Linked DNA regions of Drosophila melanogaster. The protein of the gene in region 1 interacts with the protein of each later gene in a pairwise test. Each region holds a gene or a part of one and is shown on either strand. Other genes may lie near its edges. The genes, in order: Psf2 and Ctf4.

Evidence for each region.
Region 2: the proteins of Psf2 (region 1) and Ctf4 interact in a two-hybrid assay, tested with the Drosophila melanogaster proteins (one study listed by BioGRID).

The regions. Positions count from the first base shown.
Region 1 is NT_033779.5:4,385,682-4,388,916, forward strand, and holds Psf2 (partner of Sld five 2), read right to left. Parts: upstream 1,676-3,235; 5' UTR 1,639-1,675; intron 1,390-1,638; exon of another isoform or gene 1,333-1,389; 5' UTR 1,328-1,332; coding exon 1,083-1,327; intron 1,025-1,082; coding exon 658-1,024; 3' UTR 501-657; downstream 1-500. Other genes in the region: Vps53 (vacuolar protein sorting 53), read right to left, coding at 1-141, 202-297; Tps1 (Trehalose-6-phosphate synthase 1), read left to right, coding at 3,044-3,177. UniProt on the Drosophila melanogaster protein: The GINS complex plays an essential role in the initiation of DNA replication.
Region 2 is NT_033778.4:13,978,253-13,987,680, forward strand, and holds Ctf4 (chromosome transmission fidelity 4), read right to left. Parts: upstream 5,066-9,428; 5' UTR 4,984-5,065; coding exon 2,296-4,983; 3' UTR 2,110-2,295; downstream 1-2,109. Other genes in the region: CG6701 (uncharacterized protein), read right to left, coding at 690-865, 932-1,088; CG8067 (uncharacterized protein), read left to right, coding at 5,435-5,571, 5,633-5,888, 5,946-6,554; RN-tre (uncharacterized protein), read right to left, coding at 8,789-9,219.

The DNA.
Region 1 (3,235 bases):
ATCAATCAGGGACACCTCGCACTGCATCTTTTGGATGGTCTCATCAATACCGGCCAGCGATTGCTCGTTGGGGAAGAGCTGGTTGATGTAGTCCACAGTGTTGAAGTCCGGCGCATCCATCGGATCGTCCGTTTTGAGAACCTTTTATGGACATTCGAATTGGGTTGGTAATTGCTACCAACATATGTTCCACTGACTCACCTTGTCGATGACCTGCTTCACCTCCTTGGAGAAATGGATTTTGTTGTTAGCAACCATCCTTTCTTCCGGCTCCACCGCTACCGCAGACTCGCTCATCTCGCTTTATCCTTATTTATTTGTATAAAAAAGTTATTGTTATTCTCTTCGTGGAAAACCAGGGATACAGTGCAATTATATGATAGCAGCTGCTGTTAAATTGCTGTCGTGCTGTAAGGCGCAGTCCTGTTAGATAAGCGCATATCGATAAAGAAATTTATCGGAATTTGAAATGCCTTATCAAAAACTTCTAATTCTAATTACTTTTTTTAATTTTCTGAAAGCATTTATATTTAATTTTAAGCATACAAATATTTTTGAACTTTTGAGAGGTTTAATGACTACAGGCTACATAAGCTCCTGCTAATAACTAAATCTATTATCTTAAATGTTCCCAACAATGTTGTTTGACTGGAATAATCACTGAGAAAACAGAGAGTTACTGTTCGGACCCGAACTGGAGCCTGCCATGGATGCACTTAGCATGGAGGTGTCCCTTTGAGACGCAGTGGCCGTGCGCTGGTACCGTGCTATGTGGTCCAGGGAATAGGGCAGAATGGGTCTCACGCTGTGGATCTCCAGAAGCGTGAGGTTGTCTAGCTTTGCATATGTGCCCTCTCCCTTGATAAAGGCGTCGATCGAAGTGCGCAGCTTGGACTCGCGTATGTCGAAGATGTCCTTGATCACAGTGCGCAGCTCCTCGCAACGCGGAACGTCATCCGGAGCCGTGCTCATGACCAACTGGGCCACTACCATGTAATGCTCACAGGGCATTTTGGTAAAGAACCTATGGGCAGGCGGAGAATAAGATTTGCTTTCCACGGGCATACCCACATCATACATACTTTGAGCGCTTTTCCTCCTCCTTGATTTCCTCCAATATATCCATGTCCATCCATTCTGGAGGTACAATTCGGCACTTTTGTTGCTTGCGCAGATGCGTGGCCATCCACAGGGGCACGAAGACGGGAAAACCGGCTCGGAAAGGGCCCACAGGTCCGTATATCAGGTGCAGAGGCTCGTTGCTGAAGTTCGGTATTATGCTGATCATGCATTTTTCGCCAATAAATTCAATAATTGAAGGATCCATAATTGCTATAAACAAACAAAACAAATGCGGGAACATACGGTCACTCGAGCGGCCAGTGATGACACCTGTCCGCTATCGATCTCAATGCTATCGACCCAGTGATCTCTGCAGTCTGGCAGCCCAGCTCTGCTATTGACCGTTAATAACGGTGTTGTTTTCCCAACAATCTGCTTGCATCACGAATCTTTCGCCTGCGGGCTCTGCGTCAATTTAATCACGTCAAACTATAGACTTCTGCGACATAATAGCCACAGTTCGCCACTATAAATATGCCAACCGTAATTCGGCGACCTTCGGCCGGGTTATCTCACCATCATTACCACTATCGCCGGCCGGATCGGATCGCATCGCATTGCTGCACCGCTACAACCGATGGAGCTGACTAATTTGTTCTCCCGGTGCGAATGTGTTATTGCAGATTCCGGCTAAGGCGACGACAACTATCAAGAATCACGTAAAACGCCAGCCGGGCATCGTGATAAGCGCATGAATGCCAAACATGATCAAGCGTTCAAGTTCAGCCAAGTTTTCCGTTCTATAATATATAAGCTGCCCGGGCGTAATCCCTTGCACCACTTCGCCGTAAAATCCGAGACTAAAATGCACTAGATAGCCTTATCGGTCTTGTATCTTTCCGGGCAAATAAAACTATACGCCCGGTAATGAACTCCAGAAATGGCGGTCATTACAAGGTTAGATCTGCACTAGCTGGAATCCCAAACTGAACAGATTTCAACTGCAATCTGCAGACAACTTCGATAGAGAAACGAAAATAGAAATACAAATCTTCTGTGTACAATTCGGATGTTCTTTATAAGGCTGAGCCCGAAGCGTAAACAACAGCATCGATTTGTTGACTTATCGCATCGAGAGACAACATCGATGAGATGGAATGGGATGGGTGGTGGTTAGGGGGAGGAGGCGGAGGATGATGAGGTTGTGGCCGTCGTTGCCGTGAAATGTTCCCGAGCTGATAATACCAGGCACGGCCAGTTAATTCTAGAAAACTATCTGCGGTGTGTAAACTGCGGCACCGATAGTTCAGATCACATCCCCATGACATCTAACCCCTTCAAGGATCAATTGGGTGAACACTTGGCCACTAGGCCAGGACAGAAGCGGTAGGTATTCTCCTGCGCAGGTTTCGATTCTCTCACATCCGCTGGGAAAAATGTAATCAGCGCGAGAGGAGCAGATGCCGGACGATTTTCTGATAAGCCGGAGAGTGGACTGTGGAACCCATGATGGAATGGGTGGAGGGGGTTGGCTGGCTGGCATTAATTTTTAGCAGAAAAGTGCGACTTGATCGCCTAGTTGGCTTAGTGCTTGTCTATTTTCGGCAGGGTACGGAGCTGCTGGCTCTCGCGACCATCGAAACTAACGTAATCGACTCACCGCCAATCAGCCAGGAAAATTGCCTGCCATTTCCACGTAGAATTGCATCTGAGAGTAGCTTTGATAAGAAGGCAGTGATTGACTTGGCTTCGAGCAGTCTTCAGTCATCGATCAGCGCATCTCGAACCAAATTCGGCAACGGTCGCTCTCGCTTCGGAAGAACGGACTCGTTCATTGATAAGCCTGGATTTGAACTAGACGGTTGTCTAACCTCCACATCCGCGAATTTTCCCATACGCTGTTGTCAAAAATTATGTGCTAGACTTGACCGCAGGAGAAGATTCGTTTAACTCTTCTACAGCTAGCTTACCAAGGATCACGATGCCCGACACGGAAATCATCGTTACCAATGCCGGGGAGCCCTCCACCAAGGCGAGTCTCATCGTGGTATCCAATCGGTTGCCGTTTGTGCTTATCCGAGATCCGAAGACCGATGAGTTGGAACGCAGGGCCAGGTGGGTACATTAAAAAAAAAAGACTTATATAATCCAGTTTAACAAATACGTGTTCTAA
Region 2 (9,428 bases), on another chromosome or scaffold:
AGATATACGATCTTGACACAATATAATATTTCTGTTTTTAAACTGAACTCTCAGCATTGAGTTGAGTTGAAATCCACTTAAAGTCATATACAAAATATGCATGTACATTTGTTAATGTTTATAATTTATAAACAAATGATTACGTTTGTTTAGATCAGATTGCTGCTGTACCAGCAAAGATTCCGCGCATCTGAGTGTAAAAGAAAGAATAATCCGGCAGGGGAAACCCAAAACCCAGAACCCAGATGACTCATAGACTCAAGCGAGCAAATCGCGATCGCACACGACGTCGATCGTATGTATGTGCAAATAGTTGTAAAGTTGCTCTGATAATACGGGGAAAATGTTTGGACTGGAGCGAGACAAAGGAAAGCCACATACATACATATATAGATACATACAGTACGAAATCAGTCTTATCGCGCTTTGACTAGCGAAATCGAGTGGTCTGCAATGCAATGTCGAGAATATTGAGCAACTTAAGGCATGTTTACATTTTGTATCCGATTATACTTATCCTAATATATTATATTTCATATTTTAAAGAATGACCTACACATGTACATATCGGACCAACAAAATGCAATTTATTAGTTTTCTAAGGCAACCCCGACCGAAGCTCATTTGGCAGTGCTCACTGTACAGGAAATAGGATAGCAATAAGGCATTATCAATGTGATTCAACTTACATTCGTAGCTCCCTGACTGCTGAGCTTCTGACGAATCTCGCTACTGTTGGGCAGGGCGTTCAAGTGCACCTCGAATAGTTTTCGCATTTTGGCCTTGTCCACGTACCACTCCGTTTGGGCGCTTATCACCTGGAGTCTGGCCATCTCCAGCAAAAACGAGCCCATCAACTCGCGCTCTGTGCCCGTGAAAAGTGATCCGATGTTATGGATCATATATAGTATATACATAGTATATAGCTTACCCCACGGAACCGTCGGCTTGCGAGGCATTCCATTGGCGTAGGTGCCGGGCGGTTTGATACCGGCATTGATCGGTGGCGTCGGTGGCGGTGTTGGGAAGTCCGGCGGGGTTGCGTTGCCATTGTTATTGTTGATTATGTTCTTTTTATTTTTTGTCATTTTGGCTTGATGTTCTTTATTTTGTACTGATTTTTTCCTGTTGTTTTTTTCTATGTTTTTGTTATTGTAATACACTCACTCAAACAAAAAGGGTAGGATCGATAATTGTTGTTGCGAATAATCGCAATTAAGTTACTTATTTGACGCGAACAAAACGCAAAGACGCAGACACACACACACGTTGAAATATTATATATGATATAGTATGTACTATTCAGCTGACGATCGAAATGCACGGCGTAACGTTCAGGTAACAAATGAAGAGAGTGATGCGCGAGCGTTGGGTTTTATATGCACGGGTTACCCAGACGGGGATTTCTTAAAAAAGTTGTTGGGTTAAAAAATGGCTTCAACGAAAACTAATTCAACATTAAATTGGAAATAGAGTCTCTCCATCTTTAGATTTTAACGATGTCCCTGTGTGTTTGCCTGCTTGTGTGTGTGTTTGCGTCTGCAGCAGAGAGCCTTCTGAATAGCGGTGATCAGTTCGCTGGAACTGGAAATTCATTACGGAGTTCTTTAGCTTTCTTCCAGTGGCGAGAATTTCGTAAACAACGCAAAAGGAAGCACTCGCTGCCGCAATACTTACATACGTGTATGTAACTGTCAATTTAGTTTGTTATTTAAAAAATATATATATTTATTTTTTTGATATATCTAGCACCTTTTTTGCTTATTATTTCTAACCTTTATATTGTGTTTTTTCCTATGTGTATGAGTGTGTAATTTTATGTTGGAATTTGAGCGTGTAACACTTATTTACAAAATAGAATTAAACGAACACATAACTTTGACTTGAAAGTCGTGGAAAATCCAGCCTAAAATGATCGTTTCGATCGATTAATGTCATTTACAAAGTTTGGTCACACTATTTGGTTGGTTTAATTCCAAAGATAAAAATACCAACGGTATTCTTTGGAGACCAGAATGTTTAATTTGTAGAATTTTAAAATATTTAAAAATATATTGATCATATTTTAAATAAACTTGTACCCTCCGCTTTTTAAAGAATATACATTTTAATATAAATAAAAGTATATTTTATTCTTTAAATTTAAATAAGCAAATTAATCCTTAACAATTCTGTTCCATAAAAAGCTCAAATAAAAATTTGTTATTTTACATGTAGCTCACAGAATGGGATAAACGTTACACATTATTTATATAATATATTTATCTTAAACCTACTTATCAATCTACAAACAGACTATTTCTTTGCCAGCTTCAGCTTTTCGGATCCAAAGATGACTCCAGTGTCGCCCAGTTTGCGCTTCATAGCAAAGGGATTAACCGAATTCAAAGGGGACCGGTGATCGGTGGCTTTACCCATGGGAACCTCGGATTCCGATTCGCCGAATATGTTTTCCTGGGTGTCCAGCGGAGAGGGTGTGATATCCGGAGTCGAGGGCCGGGATGCTGCCGATGCTGCTGCTGCTTTAAACATATTGGGTGAATTGACCAATCTCTTCAGGGTGCCCCGTTTGGCCGAGCTCAGCTCGATGGCCTTGGGTTTTGGGCCGCTTTGTGAGGCCGATGTGGGAGTCATTGGCAGAACAATGGTGGCCGCAATGCCGCTGGCACCCAACAAAGTCTGCTGCTTGCGTGCCTCCTGGACCGCCTCCAATTGAGGTAGCAGTTCGCACAGACGGTCGGACAGGTGGATGCGTCCACGTTTCGTGGCGTATTTCACGGCCAGTTGAAGCAGATCAGTGCAGGCAATCGATTCGATCAATTCCCTAGCTCGCGTCTCGCACTCGCTGCTGCAGGCCAATGCAAACAGCTTGATGGCCGTCTCCTTTTGCATCTTCTCTGCCCCATCCATTTGCATCAGACTGGACCGCAGCAGTGCATCCTCCAGCTCGGACTTTTCCACTTCGACGTCGCAGAGCGGGATCTGCATACGCAGTTCCTGGAGCATGGGACGCGGATTGGTCATGGGATAGGAGGTACCGCGGCACAGGACCGCCTGGACTATCTGACGTTTCTCGGATACAGCGACCACAAAGAAGTTGTGCGACACACTGGTGCTTTGCTTCATGGTGTCGCAGATGGGGAACCAGGCGTTGCTGCTCCGGCGATACAACTGCAGCAGACCCATGTTGTCGGCAATACTCGGCGATCCGGTGTCGCTGTACCCAAACCAGGTGAGCTGCCGGCCTGGAGTCAGCGGAACGGGCAGATATTCTTGTCGCAAACTCAATCCATTTATGTTCACCAACATCGCGGCGAGATGCTGCTGCGTCTGACTGGGCGCGGAACTGTGGTAAACAACCATTAGGCTGTGCTCGTGTCCAGCAATAGCCACCATTGGTCCTGGTATGGTTAGCACCTCACGCTGTGTACCCATCACGGTGAAGATACGCAGAAAACTGGAGCTGGTGGCCACAGCCACTAGAAATCGCGTGGCCACAACAGCCTCTGCACTCTCGCAATCCGGGAGGCTGAGTGACCACTCTTTGTTTCCGGCGGCGGCCAGAGCAATGACTACTAACTTGCTGGATTCGTTGGAGGCCAATGCCAAAGCTCCACTGCTCACACTGGCCAAATTGTGCTGATTGTAGTTACTAATGTGTAGAGCGTGGTGAATACTAGCGTCGTGGAACTCCACATCGATGGAGCTATCGCCTGAGGGCTCCACATGGGCGGTAACAATGCCCACATCATTCCATGCCATGTAGCGATGCTCTAGATCGGCCGGTGTGGCACTGGGCTGAAAGGCCGTCTGCTGCTTGAAGAGCTTGATTTGCGGGGCAACGGGTGCAGGTACAGTTCGGCTACTGCTGTCCAGGGATTGGTTGGAGGCGTCATCGTGATCTACGGGATCCGCAAAGTTCATCACCTTGCGCTTAAGCTGTTCCAGACTAACGCCATCGCCGTCGTCTGCTGCAGTGTCCACGTCATCGCCGGCCTCAAACTCATAGTCATCGCCCAACAGCTCGGCTTGGTCGTCCACCAATCCATCGCCGTTGCCTGTGTCGACTGCATCGCCAAGAAATACGGTTCCCAGCTGGCCAGTGGCATCGCAGAAGGCCACCTCCACCTCTCCGGACAGATTCCAGGCAAGGCATGTTATGGCATTGCAGTCGCTTGGCGGAATCTCCACTGTTACTGCCTTCCGTTTCTTTACATCGAAGATGCTCACCTCGCCCTTGGTTGTTCCGGCGGCCAGGCGCTCACCATTGGGCGAGAACTGGCAGCAGCTGTAGTTACTGGACACCGAGTCGTCGCGCAGCTTAAAGGCCACTTCCCAGTTGGCCGTGTTGAGGACCACAATCTCGTTGTCAACGGCATAGGCCAGAAGTTCACCGCTTTGTGGCTCGAAATGCGGAGTGCCATACAGGCTGGCGCTCTCGAAACTGTTGACCTTTGGCAAGCCCCCAATGGTCTTCAGCTCCTTGCCCTCCTCGAAGTTCCACACCTTCAGTTGGCCATCCCCGGCCACGGAAACCAGCAGCTTTCGCTCCGCAAACAAGTCCAGTGCCAGAATGGGACCAGTGTGCCCCTCCAGCACCGTTTCGTTGCCAGCTGTATCTCCCTTAAGCACCTTTATAGTGGTATCCTCGCTGCCGGCAGCAGTATAGCCACCGGATACCTTGAGGCACGTAGCCGGTGCCGTGAATCGCATGAGGATGCCATCGCTGTCCATCTCGGGAAAGGTGTAGGCATGGATCGTATTCCGATCCGTCGAGGCCAGCAAACGGGTTCCCGTGTGGGCTATGCACATGACGAACTCGCCCAGGCAACTTGAGCGTGGATCGTCGTCACTAATGCAGGTCCAGTGCCGGATGTCTCCATCTGTGCCGCACGTGATGATGAACTCGCCGCGCGGAGTGTAAAGGAGTCCCGTGTAGCCATTGGTGTGGGCATAGCGCAGGGCACTGCGCAAGAAGCTCATGATGTGATTTAATGCTTAATTTCAATTGATCTCTCGCGATGACCTCCCGTCACTTTTGGCGCCAAAACAAATAGGCACTACCTAACAGTGTAAGCCAACGGCCGAATGGGAATGTCTTGATGTCGCTCTTTTCCAGCACTGGCCAACAGCTGTTCGTTCAATACTCTTTCTTTTTAAATATTAAAAAAAATATATCACCACGTTCCCGTTAATAATTTAAATTCAATAATACGTGAAACATTGTATACATAATTTGTAAATAGTCACACATGACGTTTCAATTGTTTAAACAACATTGGTATTACTTTCATAAATAGAAAAATTTAAGAATCCACAAGATATAAGACATGTAGGGTATACATACTTCGACTTTCCATTTTAAAAATGTAATATTTTCATTTTCCCGCAGCCGGTTGCTTATTACAGCACTGCTCTGATCAAAAGTCGGAATATGTTAAGAAAATTAACAAAACTATCGACCTTAAAGGTCAAATGTGAACTCCGCGCCCTATCCTCACTCACCCAAACATCGCAACATATATTTGACCGCAATGCCAAGAGATTACAGAAGGAAAGGGCCGCACTCAGGTGAGATCTTCTCGCCAGGATTAGAGTATATATTCAATTAGTAAACAATATACGTATACAGCGAAGACGTTGGACTATACGATTACTTGAAGGAGGAGATCGGCTTCCGCCTGGCTGACAGAGTATTCGACATTAAGCGGGAGTTCAAGGCGGCGGCGGATATCGGATGCAGTCGCGGCTATCTGTCCAGACACATTCTGGCGGAGAGTGTGGAGCAGCTGACGCTCACGGACACCAGTGCTACGATGCTGGAGCAGGCACAGGGCACTCCGGGTCTGAAAATGGTGAAACTAGTTAAGGACGAAGAGCAGCTGGATGTGGGTAATTAATCTACTTAGACCAAAGTTGCAAGTCTAAATGAGAATCCCTTTCAGTTTGAGGACAATTCACTGGATCTGGTCATCTCTAGCCTAAGTCTGCACTGGGTGAATGATCTGCCGGGCTGCTTTGTCAGAATTAAGCAGAGTCTGAAACCGGATGGGGTCTTTATAGCCTCCATGTTTGGTGGAGACACCCTCTACGAGCTGCGCTCCTCGCTCCAATTGGCCGAGCTGGAGCGCAAAGGTGGCATATCTCCGCACATCTCGCCCTTCACTCAGATTAGGGATATTGGTTCCCTGCTTAATCGCGCCGGCTTCACCATGCTGACAATAGACACCGATGAACTGGTCATCGGCTATCCCAGCATGTTCGAACTGATGTGGGATCTCAAGGGTATGGCAGAGAACAATGCTGCATTCAATCGACCCGCTCATCTTAGTCGAGAAACGATGCTCGCGGCCAGTGCCATCTACCAGGAGCTGTATGCAAAGCCCAACGAGAAGGGGATACCTGCAACCTTCCAAATCATCTACTTTGTGGGCTGGAAACCCGGTCCCAATCAGCCACAGCCTCTGGAAAGAGGAACCGGTGAGGTGTCGCTCAAGGATCTAGGGTCGATTATCGAAAAGGGCGGCAAGCTGGACACCAAAGCGGGAGATTAGCTTAGCTTCAGTTGACAGTTTTATTTGGAGACGTTGTTGAACATAATTTAAATTAAAATATACATAATTCCTTTTGCTGAGAAACTTAAACTAGTGATTCATGTTTGTGTAAAGTTTAATCATGAAATTAATGGTAAATACTCAATTCATTTGTCAGTTTGCTCGGTTCGTGTACTGCTATGAGGGTATAACTATACATAAATCTAGCGTAATCGTACGATTCTGTTATCTATAGTTTTCAATTAATATTTGGTTGCCTTTCGCCTTTACATTCGTTTGCATTTCATGGACGTAACTTTTTAACGTTGCTTTGTATTTTGTTTGGTACGTATATACAAGTACAATTTACAACAATTTCTATAATATATATGCTTGAGTTGAATTCAATTTGCAATTAAATAGACTTCTAACCGCTTTGTAGTTGTATTAGATACGATTTGCTCTTGCTTAAATATTGTTCCATTAGCAGTTTTTATGTATTTTATGTAATTCTCGATTGCTTTTATCAATTGTTTAACTCGTAACTGTTGTAAATTTAATTTGGCGCATCTAAGTCACTACCAAGTCGTGCCCCAAGCTTCCCGCGGTGTATGTACAAAGTGTGTGTGTGTGTGGTCTCATTCTCTCGAAGCTTGGTGATTGCTATTGGCTGCACCCATGGAAGGCCTAGCTCTAGTGTTTGCAGCGGTGGCAGGGCTTGAAGACTTAAGGCTAATCAAAGGCAGACGACGGCTAGTACCAGGAACTAGGTGATCCCGCTCCGGTTGGCCGCCGCCTTTTGCTTTGCTAGTCATCCCAGCGACAGCGGAGATCTCGGCGGCACGGGCGGCGGTGTGGGCGTAGCTCTCGGTGAGGATGTGGGGCTAGCTTCCGTTGCTCCTGCTACTGCTAATCCCGCAGAGGTGGCTGTGGTGAGTGTTTGGCGATTCTCTGCAGCTGCCTGCGCCGCGACGGACGCGGGCGGCAGTTGACGTCAGGTGCCCAGGAGCATCTCGCGCTGCGGAGTGTTCTGCAGCATGTTGGCGGTCCTCAGGTGAATGCTACAAAGGATGTGGTCGTAGAAGATGAGCCTAACGATGCTTTCAAGGAGTTACAGTCAAAATAATATGGAAATTATAGATCTTATAGATCTGATTGTGACCAAGATTATTTTGACTGTAACCGACTATGGATATATACTCACTTGTTGTCCTCCAGCGACATCGTTTCCGAGGAGCCGTGCGAGGCAACTGAAGTACCTGCAAGCGAACTTCGTATTGAGTGCGAATCCTCGGGAACGGTAAGCGTAACTAATAAATTGCGTTTATAGGAATTTCGTATTTTTTGTCGATTTGGTTTGACCAATCCCAGTTCGTCGTGTTGCCAATGCGTTGGGAAAAAAATTTGGTTTTTGGAAAATTGCATTTAGTTTTCAATTGTGGCTGTGATTGTGGCAATGTGAAATTTTTGTTAGCTGTGTTAGTGTTCTTGTGTTTTTTGTACTTGTTTGTGAGGTGCAAATCGAGTCGATTACTTCGTACTAATACTGTTTTCTTAGCCTGAAACATATATTGTAGTACAATAAACTGTATATATTGGGCTAACTGCGAAATCAACCATGCTGGCAAATGTGTTCTTTTCAGTACAAAATCATATTTATTTGTGTGGTACGTTTCGCTATATGTATAATCATATATAATTATTGGCTAATCAATTAGATTACAGCTACAATTTTGGCTTTAACATAAACTAAAAGTTGAGTTTTGTTTGTAATGCAAATATAAAGTAAATGCAAGAGCAAAGCTTAAGTTACCTAATCAGTTGGTTTATGCTAGTAGGTATTGTGGAATTGTGGGTAAGAAGTTAGGCGGTTAGCAATAAATATTAATCGTTGTACGTAGTTTCAAACGGAATAGTTGGAGTCTTAGGAGTTATAAGTATTTGGAATATTAAGTTGAGACTCTCGGTTGGATAATATCGGAGAGCGAGGGGAAAAGAAAGAGTGTGGAAGAAACACTAAATACACACATCGATGAATGCTAGCAAATGAATAACAATTTCAGGTTTCTGTCGGTTCGACAATACAAAAATTAAAGCTAAGTACATGTGGATATTACTACCGAATGTTTAAGGGGATTTTTGAGGGGGGGGGGGGGGTAAGGAATTCGTTATTGGCATATGCGTTTTACAAACCAAGTGGGCAAAACAAACATTAACTACATAAAGAAAGAATACGAAATACGAATCAACTAAGATTAAAGGCGTGTGTTCTCCACGCTCAGCGCATCATCGTCATCATCATCCGCAGCATCCCGATGCCCGTCCATATACCTGCCGCCTCCGCCTCCATTTTGCACGATATACACCACCTGGCTGCTGGGAGTCTTCGGATGGAGGGGCAGCTGCTGTCGCTGGAGCACTTCCAGTGCCTGATCCAGATCGATGCGATTGCGACTGTCGCTATCGCTGCTAAAGCTGTGCCGCATATGCTGCAGCCCGTTGGGCGGCAGAGCTGGATGCGTCTGCAGGTAGCTGAGATTGTGGATACTCTGGCTGCGGGCGGGATCTTGTTCACTATCGATAGTGGTCACCACAAATCCATTGCTGTACAGCGAGTAGCTGCTATTCGCCGGCGAGGTGGCTAAGCTAGTGATACTCTCAAACGTTTTCATTGAGTATCCATCACCTAGGAACAGAATTACAGAAGCGATTGCAAATTAGGTCAGATCTGATTTCGAGTTTTCTTTTTTTTTTTTTTTTTTTGCAGCTCCGATTGCCGGCAAGACGCAGAAGCGGTGGCTTGTGATCGAAACGGATATATATGTACACGCAGCGGACAATGTTAGACAATGGTTACAAAATGGATCATCCGATAACATGAACGTCGAGGGGCGT